Linked DNA regions of Drosophila melanogaster. The protein of the gene in region 2 interacts with the protein of the main gene of each other region in a pairwise test. Each region holds a gene or a part of one and is shown on either strand. Other genes may lie near its edges. The genes, in order: Lipt1, CG1894 and CG31549.

Evidence for each region.
Region 1: the proteins of CG1894 (region 2) and Lipt1 interact in a two-hybrid assay, tested with the Drosophila melanogaster proteins (one large-scale study listed by BioGRID).
Region 3: the proteins of CG1894 (region 2) and CG31549 interact in a two-hybrid assay, tested with the Drosophila melanogaster proteins (one large-scale study listed by BioGRID).

What each region holds. Positions count from the first base shown.
Region 1 is NT_033778.4:16,195,204-16,198,957, forward strand, and holds the start of Lipt1 (lipoyltransferase 1), read left to right. Parts: upstream 1-1,838; 5' UTR 1,839-2,124; coding exon of another isoform or gene 2,125-2,313; 5' UTR 2,314-2,577; coding exon 2,578-3,135; intron 3,136-3,281; coding exon 3,282-3,743; intron 3,744-3,754. Other genes in the region: caly (calypso), read right to left, coding at 1-454, 514-706; CG44242 (uncharacterized protein), read left to right, coding at 1,268-1,399, 1,489-1,599; CG42837 (uncharacterized protein), read left to right, coding at 2,125-2,313.
Region 2 is NT_033777.3:28,482,476-28,486,229, reverse strand, and holds CG1894 (uncharacterized protein), read right to left. Parts: upstream 1,674-3,754; 5' UTR 1,579-1,673; coding exon 1,474-1,578; intron 1,393-1,473; coding exon 232-1,392; 3' UTR 168-231; downstream 1-167.
Region 3 is NT_033777.3:5,630,077-5,633,830, forward strand, and holds CG31549 (uncharacterized protein), read left to right. Parts: upstream 1-2,115; 5' UTR 2,116-2,319; coding exon 2,320-3,093; 3' UTR 3,094-3,245; downstream 3,246-3,754. Other genes in the region: CG31551 (uncharacterized protein), read left to right, coding at 1-1,957; CG12171 (uncharacterized protein), read left to right, coding at 3,616-3,754.

The DNA.
Region 1 (3,754 bases), on a different chromosome or scaffold from region 2:
CTAACGAAGTGAAACGCCTCACCCGTGAAGCGGCAACTTGAGACGCCCGCTCCCGTCCTTTCTAGACGGCGCCGAGCCTGCGGCATTGCGTGTGAGTTATGGGCACAGGCCAGCTCCGGAGTGTTGCCAATAGCCAGCCCCTTGTTCTCCGGACTCATGCCTTTGGTGTGGGTTTTTAGTCGACTCAGGGTGTCGCCCAGCTGAAGATTGTTCTCGTTGCAGTTCAGGAGCACCGAAAGCAACGCGTGTGTGGCACAGCTATTGGGGACTACCTGCTGGGCGAAGAAAATGCTGGAAATGGCCTCCTCATCCTTGACGAATATCTCAGCAGTTGTCTCCACAATTTTGCGTCTGGCGCGTCGCTCTTCGATCCAGCGGAAGAGAAATATGAAGCCATATGGACTCTCGATGGGTTTCTGTAGGTCGTACACCTCCTCCACCTGTACATCGTGACCTAAGGATAGTACATATTTTAATAGGATGTGTGGAACAAGGCATATTCAAATAGATTACATCCAAAATCCTTGAGAAGCAGTGTGAAGAGACCTGGGTCGGACTCCAGCTCCAACCAACCGTCTGCCAGTTGGGCCATAGGCATGGTGGTGGCTCCTGAGGCCGTGGAAAGTAGCGCATTGTGGCTGAGACTGTTGTTGCCTGCCGCCACTGCGGCCGCCTGGGCACCACTACCTCCTCCAGCAGCGTTCATATTTGTATGGCTTATACAATTGCTGCGAAAGTATCCGAGATGTTACTTTAATTTCGTTTTTCTGCACAGAGAAGGATATACACATGAAAATCTATCAAAGGAATGTTTACGTATAAGTTTATTTGTCATTAATATAATAAACAAATGAAATAGTTACCGGTTATACTCATAAAAACGTCTTCAATAGTTTGTTTTCATATGACATTTATTGTTGCATAGAGCATAAGTACGTTGGTTTGCTAGTTTTAGGAGCAATCCATATACTGGCGATGTCCGTCCAGAAGTTAGGGCCGTCGGCTGCCGGTTATCTTCTGTCCCCAATTCATTTTAAATATAAAAATATTACCGATTTGGACCAAAATAGTTTTTTGCGCTTCCTCTTATCTGCCTTAGCCATTCACAGGATCACGTAAATTTCAATAACGATAATAATCCATTGCGCGGCGAATGGCATGCAATTTTAACGATCTGGCAGCGCTTGTATGAGTTTACAGTCAGCTGTTATTCACGTAACTTTTACTTTTGCCTTGGCTTTTTGGTAGAAATTCAATTGCTGTTGCTATGGTTCGACCAACACTAGTTGCGCTGGCTAAGCGCGTACCGCTCATACACTTCCGCAAGGGTGGTGCAGGAGTGCCGGGCGCCCAGACAGCAAACCAGAAGGCAAGTTCCCAGGCCGCAGGAGGCAAAAAGGTTAACCCAGCCCATTTCATTTATACACAATACCACGGCTTCTTCTGTGCATCATAACTAATCTTCGTAATTGTCCCTTCTACATTTAGTTGGCCGGTGGACCAGCAATTGAGGACTACGAGCTGCCGGCACGATTTGCCCGCAAGCCAATTGATCCCGAAGAGGCGGCTTACATTAATAATGGGGGTATTCCAAACTGAAGGGGCTCTCAAAGTATGCTGCTTATAAAATATAACACATATTAATGTCACATCTGTTGTAGACGTCTCGGATTATCACACATGTTTAGCGTAAATTATACAAGTTCGAATTAAAAAGATGAAAATAAATTAAGTGCGGCGCCAGAGTGCCGTTGTTTTTTTTTTTTTTTAATGACCGGAGCTTTCGTCGTTCGCTGCGAATGGCATTTGGGGACCGTCGAGGAAGAACAAGAGCAGCGAGCACCACTGCTCATCTGAAACGAAAGCCAATCGGTCGTGATATTTCCACACGCGCAGCTGCTTTTCGATCGGCTCTGTGTTCGTTCGTTTGTTTGTGCTATAACTGCTACCCCCGCCCACTGCGATCATCCGCCTTGCCCCCGCCCCCCGCAGTTCCCGTGCGCCGCGAACAAAGAGTGGAAAATTTTGGTGTCAGCTAAAAAGGAAACCCTTTAGCCATCTTATTTGGGCCCCGTAACGTTGCGGCCCCCCGTAAACACCGGATTCGTTGTATCCCCCACCTGGATGGGTGTGAGGCGTAGTATGCCAGTGAACTGTGCCAACAAGGACTGCCTGGGTCTCCGTAAGCGTGTCTGTGGTCTGCATCAAACGTGGAAGTGGCTGCATCAGACGCCCGCCCTGCACGAATACCTCATCTCGGCCAGCTCCGTGGCTGCAAACACATCCCGAGCCACTAAGAACGCCACAGTCTAAAGTCCAGAGCGACCAAAGCCATTTAAAGACCAAAACGAATAGCGTAGATAGTAGACCATACATAACCTAAAGAAGAGCACACACGGACCACACAGAACCAGGCAGACGACAACCGTAGAAACCAACCAACCAACCAACCAATCAACCAGCCAAAAGCTTTTTTCGACACCATTGACCTTGTTTCGCTTGCAAGTGCATTGTGTCCCAGATCACCTGGCAACAGAAATCACACACACCCGTACGCCCCACTTCCTTGTGTAAGCCATGAGCATGCTGTTGCGACGCAATTCCAGCCAGCTGCGGCTACTTCTCTCCTCCGCCGCTCAGGCCACGCGCCTGGCATCCAGCGGAGTGGAGCCACCATCTGCTGGACAGCAGGAGATTAAAAAGCAGAGGCGCCAGCCACCGCCCGTGGTTCCCGATTCGGAGATCAAGAAGTCCGTGTTCATCTCGCAGTCCAGCGATGTGTTCACCAACCTCGCTCTAGAGGATTGGCTGTACAAAAACTTTGATTTCAGCCGCCACCATGTGCTGCTGCTGTGGGCCAACGACCCGTGCGTAGTCATTGGTCGCCACCAGAATCCCTTCACCGAGGCTAATGTTTCGCAGCTGGTGGAACGCGGCATAACACTTGCACGCCGCAATAGTGGCGGTGGAGCGGTGTACCATGATCTTGGGAACCTCAACTGCACCTTTTTCTCGCCCAGAGAGCGCTACGATCGCAAGTACAACCTGAACATCGTGACCAGGGCCTTGTTCCGCGAATGGGCCATCAAGGCAGAGATAAATGAGCGCGACGACATTGTAGTGATGAATAAGAAGGTGAGGAGGAGCGGTGGCTCTTATCAAGGAATGATGCGACCCCGGCTGATCCCTCACATTGGCATCAGCTCACTTAACCAACAGCTGGGGCTGTGCATCTGGTCTTTATTTGCCCACTCAACGAGTATGCCCTTGTTCAATTACAGATTTCCGGCACTGCGGCCAAGCTGGGACACCCGAACTCGTACCATCACTGCACCATTTTGGCCAGCGCCAACAAATTGCACTTGGGCGAATCTCTGGTGCGGGAGCCGGCCAATTATATTAGCAAGGCCACGGCTTCGGTGCCGTCGCCCATTCGCAACCTGGTTGATGTCAATCGCACGGTGAACGTTGCTCAGCTGCGTTCCGCCGTGGGTTACGAGTATTTGAGAACGGCTGCAACTACGCTTGAAGACGGCGGCAGCACACAGACGATGCAGCAGCGCGGCTTTCAGCTGGTCAATCCCACAGAGAAATGGTTCCCCGGCATTGAGGAATTGCGCTCCAACTACAGCTCTTGGGACTGGGTCATCGGCAAGACTCCCAAGTTCACCGTGCAGAAGGAACTGGAGGTGAAGGGCGATGAGCAGGACATGAAACTGAAACTAAGCGTGGAAGTGGAAGCGGTAAGATTTGT
Region 2 (3,754 bases):
AGGAATCAGTTCCATGGGATGTCATCGATTTTTCATTAATACCTGGATTTTACCTAATTTCCGCAGGCCTTGAATTTTGATTATCTCGCTAATGTGATTTTTATTTTAGACTGTCTAAGGTACACCGCAAAAAATAAAATAAGATAAGGACATTCTTGTAGATGAGTGCAATCAGTTTACTAGTGTAAATTGTTGGCATACAAAGTGGCATACATATATCATGAAAATGTTCTACTTTCGTCCTGTGGGTGTCTTCCAGGAGAGGCGATTCCTGTGAATGGTCAACCTCGGCTTTTTAAACTGTGCGAGCCCACGGCGATCTTCAATTATCGATGAAGTAGTGTAGAACATGATGTGGTCAACCTTGTAGTACTTCGTCATCCCCATAAATTCTAAAGTGCTTATTATGTCCTCCTCGCGGAAGCCAGTCGCTTTGCTCAGCTCTTCGATGGTCACCAGGTCCGGTGATGAGTGGTGCCTCAGCAGATTGAGGAGGATGTGGCCCCAATAGCTGAGGTAACAAAGTCTGGCAACTTTCGACAGCGGCTTCTTGGGACCTCCGATGCATGCCTCCCTGCGAGAGATCTCGTAGCTCAGATCAATCAACAACTTTCCGTATCCCTTGCGCATATAGGGCGGTAAAACAAGGATGCAATTCAGGTTGATATTCAGCATAGTCTTCTCCCTGGCGAAGTAACCTGCAAAGTGCTCGCCATCCTTGTCCTTCAAACACAGGATATAAAACAAGAACGAACTCGAGCTGTAAAGAATTTTCTTGTTTTCCAGAAAGAGCTTTGACATTAGGCAGAGGCACTGGCAATACAGCTGCTCCTTATGGCCATCGACCTCGTAGATATAAATATTGTCTTTTCGGTATAACAAGCTGCCCGGCGGACACCTCTTCTTGCAATCGTATAGGTGGTAGGAGTAACTTTTCCGCAAGCACATGTATTTTAGGCAGAATTCACAAACGTAAATGGTGGTCGCCTTGTCGTTTATTACAGGATAGGGACTGGAAGACGTGGTCTCGATCTCGTAACGCCCAAATTGCACCTTTTCGATGTTTCTTATGACTTTCACTTTCGCGTCCTCTTTCTCTTTCTGGACATCACTTTTTTCATTATCTATTGTCTCCTGGCGCTGGCGATCATCCACATTGCTACTGGCATTAGTGTGTAATAAAGAAATCATATTAGGTTCCTTGACGCCTTCCAATTGCTTCTTCGGTGTAGCCCCTATTCTTTGAGCTTCGATGCACGATCCAGTAATGGTTTTAGTTTCCTGAATGTTTTTTTGAAGAGATGAATCGTTCTGAAGCTGGGATTTCCCCATTTCGGACTTAGAAGCACTTTGGCCTAAACCGCGAGTCGCGGAGGATTCCTTGGCATTAGTCTGAAGAGTGGCAAAAAAAAAATAAATTATCAGCAGTTTTTCATTCCTCATATGATATTCTTTGACCAGTATTGTTCTTACCAATTGCAGGGCTCTCGGAATGTCCGGCAATTTCGAACTTATCCCGTCCTGATCGCCCAACGGCTGATACTTTAAATGGTCACCTGATCTGTTTTCCTTGTCCATTTGTCAATTCCTATTGCGAATTTCACCCTTTTTAGAAAGCGTGGTTTTTCACTAGTGATGACACATTTAGCTTGATATCGATTAGTGATATCAATAATGAAACGATAAAGTTTGTTGTCAAAAAATCGAATCATCTAAGGAAGCACCAATATCAAAGCATTAAAGTTATTTTTAAATTTTAATTCCAATTTAACTTTCTGAACATATATTGAGCAAAAATATATATTATACAATAAGTTGTATACATTTTTTTCAGTGAGAAAACATTTCGGGATATAATCTCAGTCCTACGCCACACCCTGCTACCTTGATCTATCGAAGACGCCAGTGCAGGGACAACCCGGCTCAATACTAATTAAAATAAATGAACATTTACGTCGTCACAGCAGGTGGATGTGAGGGCGAGAGGCCAGGAGACCGGGCGAAAGATTAGGTGACGAGCCCGGGCCAACGGGAGACATCATTAAAATGCATGGTTCAAACGGTGCGTATACTTAATATAGATTGGATTGAGAGTGTGTGGATGGCGGGATGGGGGGGGGGGGGGGGTTCTAGCAGGATGGAAAGCTCCTGGATGAGTTGGCTCCTTTTGCTACAGCATTCGCTTGCGGTGGCTGTAATCTTTATGCGCCATGTTTTTATTTGTATTTATTATTGCGTTTGCGGAGAGCAGAGTAGCGAAGAGCACACTTTGTTTGCAGGTGAAATATTCCACGCATCCAGCGAAATGAGAATTTATTGACTTCACTCTGCATATGTGCGTGTGTCTGTGTGTGTGTGCCTTTTCTATAAGAGTCTCTGTTTGCGTACACGTAAAAATATTATAGCGATTTGATATATAGCTTTGTGCTGCAAAATATCTATGCGCTGCAGAAATATAAAAATGTCATGTCTCTACTAGAGAATATTACACAAAAATGATTAAAATTATATACATACTTCGAATCTCATTAAAATCAAACACTTTTTATTGCTGTGCTGCTTCGTTTCCGCTTGAAACGTGCCCCCACTGCATATTTATCTACGTCACACAAGTTTGATAAACACAACCATGGCTTCGAGACAACTCGAACGTCTGTTTGCATTTGTGCTTAATAACTTTTAAATGATGCGGGGAATGCCTTTGAAAACGAAGTCAACTGAAAGGAGGTTCCTGGGCCCCGGAGTCATACTCCCTAATTAGAGCCGTAGAGTCGTAGGTGTGTGCAGAACTATTCAAACAGGCCAAAGAAGTCGAGCTAACTTGAAGCTTAAATATTTTTAATAAAAATTCTTTTGTTATTTCGATATGTTTAAAGCACAGCACAGCTTCTTGTTAATGTATATATACATATACAATATTCTAATCCCAGCTTAATTTCACGCCTCCAAGCTTTTTGGTTCCTTGTTATTACTCGATACCATCAGTCTTATAAAAATATTAAGGCCAATGTTTGGGCTGGTAGCTCTGGATCGATACCTATTAGCCCTTGACCTGTACGGTGAAGATAAGCGCTGGGCTCCCAATGGGCTTTGCGAAACGGTTTCCATGGGGCCACGTAGTGTTGGGTGGGTTTGGACGGGCTTTTGTTTAGCCAGCTGAACATTTGGAAAATGGTTACAAACAGTTTTGAATGCCCATAATTGATGCAGGAGGAGCATGCCCAGAGCCCGGCAATCGCACTTCAATATGCATGCCAGTGTGCACTGAATACCCAGTTCCAAGTTACCATCCGGTTGGAATCAAACCAAGTGTGGTCAGGCGTCTCTGCTGGGCTGCCGGATGCAAAGCCGGAATAGTGGTCGGTCGGGTTGCGTTAATTAATAAACTGGGCCTACTTTAAGACGACGCCTGCGTTGGCCAATTGCCATGGCATCCATGCAGTCGGGCAACTAGGCAACTAGGCAGTCGAGCCGTAACCGCAACAACTTCAATGCAGTTTTGTCTGCCACAAAGCCGAATTTCAGTAACTGGCAGAGATTGCATCCTTTGCGGATACTTAACGAGTCGACGCCTGAGGAACGGTCCAATCCCAAACTGATGCCCTCAAAGCCGTATAATTGGCCAGCGATGCGCCATCATCGCCGGCATGGACTCGATCGATTCCTTTGAGCATTAGCCAAATGCCGCATTTTTGAAGTAATAAAGCACAGGTCAATCTCAGTTGTGGTTGCAGCCATATCAAATCGCACGAGT
Region 3 (3,754 bases), about 23 Mb from region 2:
GTTGCTTCAAAAGCAAGCGCAAGAGGAAAACAGGGAAAGAGAAGAACGCGAGAAACGTGAAAAGAAAATTAAGGAGGGCATAACTGCAGAGGGTAACAAGCGCAGGGAAAAAGAGGAGGCTGAGAGAAAGCATTGGGAGAAACTTGATCGATTACAAAGGGAGAGACAGGAAATGAAACACCTAAATAAAAAGCGGCCGAAAAAGGTTAAAGTCGACGGGCAAAATGCCATTGGGAAACAAGACGAAGAGGAGCTTTTTACCAGACGTTGCCCAGAAAGCCCGAACCAGGAGAAGATGTATAGGGATTTAAGAATGCAAGAGATTACCCTGAGTGAAAAAACGGAGCTGAAGCTGCAATGCGAGGCAAGAAAGGTGGCGAAGCGGCTTCAGCGGCACCTGTTAGGTCGACTTGGAATGCACGGAGAAGGAGAGGTTCATTTGGGCCAGAAAAATTATCCACAGAAAGTGGCAAGCGAGAGAAAAGCAAATAGCCAGACGGAGAATTGGTCTGTGAAGAATCTCTCCGGAGACATGATGAAAGTGGGGCTAACTGGCAAGGATGTGTCGAACGTTCGACGAAGTTTTCAGCAACTAGATCGATATGAGAATGCCAAAGTCCGCTTGAAAAAGCTCCATGAAAGGAATAGCAGGATTTTTGAAGAGGTGCAGAAGTTTCAGGTGCTCGATAAACTGCGCTTGGAAGCAGGAGAACTGGAAGCTCAAAAATCTTTGAACAAGCGTTTCGAGCTAAGATCTTCAAAGGCGCGCCCGTCACAGAAAAATGCAGAGAGACCAATCAGTTCCAGTCAAGAGTACTTTCAGCCAGGATCCCTGCATACTCGCAGCGAGCGATGGGATCGCTTTATTGGGAGTGACGAGGAATCCGGAATGGAGGATCCTCAAAATCGGGGTCGCAACAGCGCCATCCTCTCTAGCAGCGAAAGCGACCCGGTTCCGGAACCCCGTTACACCCTTGAAGGCAAGTACTGTCCGTTCAAGAAAACATACGCGGTGGAGCCCCAAAATGCTCAACACATCCCACATGAAGAATCAGAGCAGGGAGAAGATTGTCGGAAGACACCACCACCAAGTTCACACTCTACTGAGGAGGCAGAATCGGACGAGGAACGAGCACGAGGTGGCGGTGGCAATCCAAGTGGCATTGGCATGACTTACTGCACACGAACAGGAAAGAAGCGTTTTTCGCAGATCAAACAATGCGAGATTGACCACGATTCTGGCGGGCTAAATGAGGATCGGGTGTTTTTCGGACACCTTCTCACGCAGGCTCGGACATTCGATTGCAGTCCGGATATATTGCGCGCGGAGAACCGTCTTCTGAAGAAAAAACTGGCTAGAGCTAAAAACAAATATCTGCAGTTGTCAGTTCTGCGAATGTCCAAGTATCTCATGAGTGTGTTCGAGAATAACGAAGCTATCGAGAGTTCCGAGGAAGAGAATGAATCTCTGGAAAATGTAGAGCTCGAGCAGATCTATCTGCAAGAGACCGATAGCACTATGCTATTTCCCAGGCCAATCTTTAAGACTCTGATGTTAACTGTGGTTACATCCAACGAGTCCATTTCTCCTGACCTCGCGTACAAAATTACCAATTTGGAAGATGAGCTGAAGGCTCACCTCAAGAAGATTTCTAGACGCGCTTTTGCACAACGAGGTGCAGGAGCTCTGAGGCGGAGAGCCAAGTACTTGATGGACCAGCAGCGTCAACTACAAAGTCGCCAACTGTCCGAGGTATGTCGCAATTCCGAGGAGCAGACTTTAAGGCTGTGGGATCGACTGACCAGCAGCAGTGACTCCTTGCGAGGGATCAGGGATCTCTTTCGCGATCATTGCGACCTGCGAGACCCATTGTTGTGCGCCGCACTCCAAAGCATCGAGCGTCTCTACAGGGAGTGGAAGGATCAGCGGTTTAGCGTGAATTGGAAACAAAATTGATTTAATTTTCCTTTTTTTTTAATGGCTTCATTTTTCGTTCCTTTTGAAATTCGATCTTACCAGCTATTTTAATTACATTAAGGGCTAGCCTAATTAAATTGTGTACATACATAGTTATTTGCGTGGGGTAGAGTGGAAAAGGTTTGGTTGATTGAACACAGCACTCCAAAATTCAAAAACTATTTTCCACCGACACATTTTGAAAATTCCAACCGCTAGAGAGAGAGCTTTTCGATAAGCTTTTCCGCCACAGCTGATGTGGAAAAGCTATCACTTGCCAGCTGGAACTGCGCTTCTTCTTAGATGTCTGTCTATCGTTTCCAGTGATCGAACTTCGCTTAGCGTAAAAGAAACACCCCACGATGTCATCCTTCAAGGACAAAGTGATTATTGTTACCGGCGCCAGCTCCGGCATCGGAGCAAGTGCCGCCGTCCATTTGGCGAAACTCGGAGGGCTCCTGGTCATCGTGGGTCGCAACGAGGAGAAGCTGAAGGAGACGGCCGACAACATTGTGGCGGCCGGAGGAGCAACGCCATTGGAACTGCAGGCGGACATGACCAAGGAGGCGGAGGTGCAGCAGATTGTGGGCGCCACTCTGGCCAAGCACGGTCGCATCGATGTGCTCGTTAACAATGCGGGCATCCTGGAGACAGGCTCCATCGAAGCCACCAGCCTGGAGCAATTCGATCGTCTGATGAACACCAATGTGCGTTCCCTGTACCAACTAACCATGCTGGCCACTCCAGAGCTAGTCAAGACCAAGGGCAATATCGTAAACGTATCCAGTGTCTGTGGACTGCGTGCCTTTCCTGGTGTCCTGGCCTACAATGTGTCTAAGGCAGCGGTGGACCAGTTCACGGCCTGCATAGCCCTGGAACTGGCCCCCAAAGGAGTCCGCGTAAACGCCGTGAATCCCGGCGTGATTGTGACTGACATTCACAAGCGTGGCGGCATGGACGAGGAGACCTATGCCAAGTTCCTCGAACACTGCAAGATAACCCACGCCTTGGGCCGTCCTGGCGATGTCAAGGAGGTGGCTGCCGCCATTGCCTTCCTGGCCAGCGATCAGGCCAGCTTCACCACGGGAATCAGTCTGCCCGTCGATGGAGGTCGTCACGCCATGTGCCCGCGATAGGATGCGGATGAGCAAATGGTGGCATTTATCGAATTTAGCGTCATTTTCAGTAGTTAATTTAAAGAACACGACTAAAATACAACACAATACATTAAAAGTGCGCAGTTAAGATTTCTTGGATTTTTCCTCTCATAATAAACTAATATATTGATAAAATATCTATAATCTATTATTATCTTCTTCTGGGATCCCAAATAGCTGATTATATTGTCAAAAACTCTCACAACCTCTCTGTCTAAAGAGGTGACCACTTAAAATTAAAAACTGATCATACATACATTCAACTATTTATTAATATACATACATACATACATATGTATATGCATAGTAGTTGGATAAAATAACAAATTAACAGTTAATTAAATTTAATTGAATTTCACAACCACTGGAAATGTGTAGCTTGGAAGGTTCCAGCCTATCGATAGCGTAATCGGATTGCAGCCCGGGAATTGTTGACTTCTGGGTCGGGTCTTCAATGTCACCAATCACTATCAGTTAAACCGTCGAGTGGATCACTTCAACATGCCCAGTTTCAAGGATAAAGTTATAATCGTGACCGGAGCCAGTTCGGGAATTGGAGCGGGTACTTCGGTGCTCTTGGCTAAACTGGGAGGCCTGCTCACCATCGTGGGCAGGAATTTGGATAAGCTCAACGAGACCG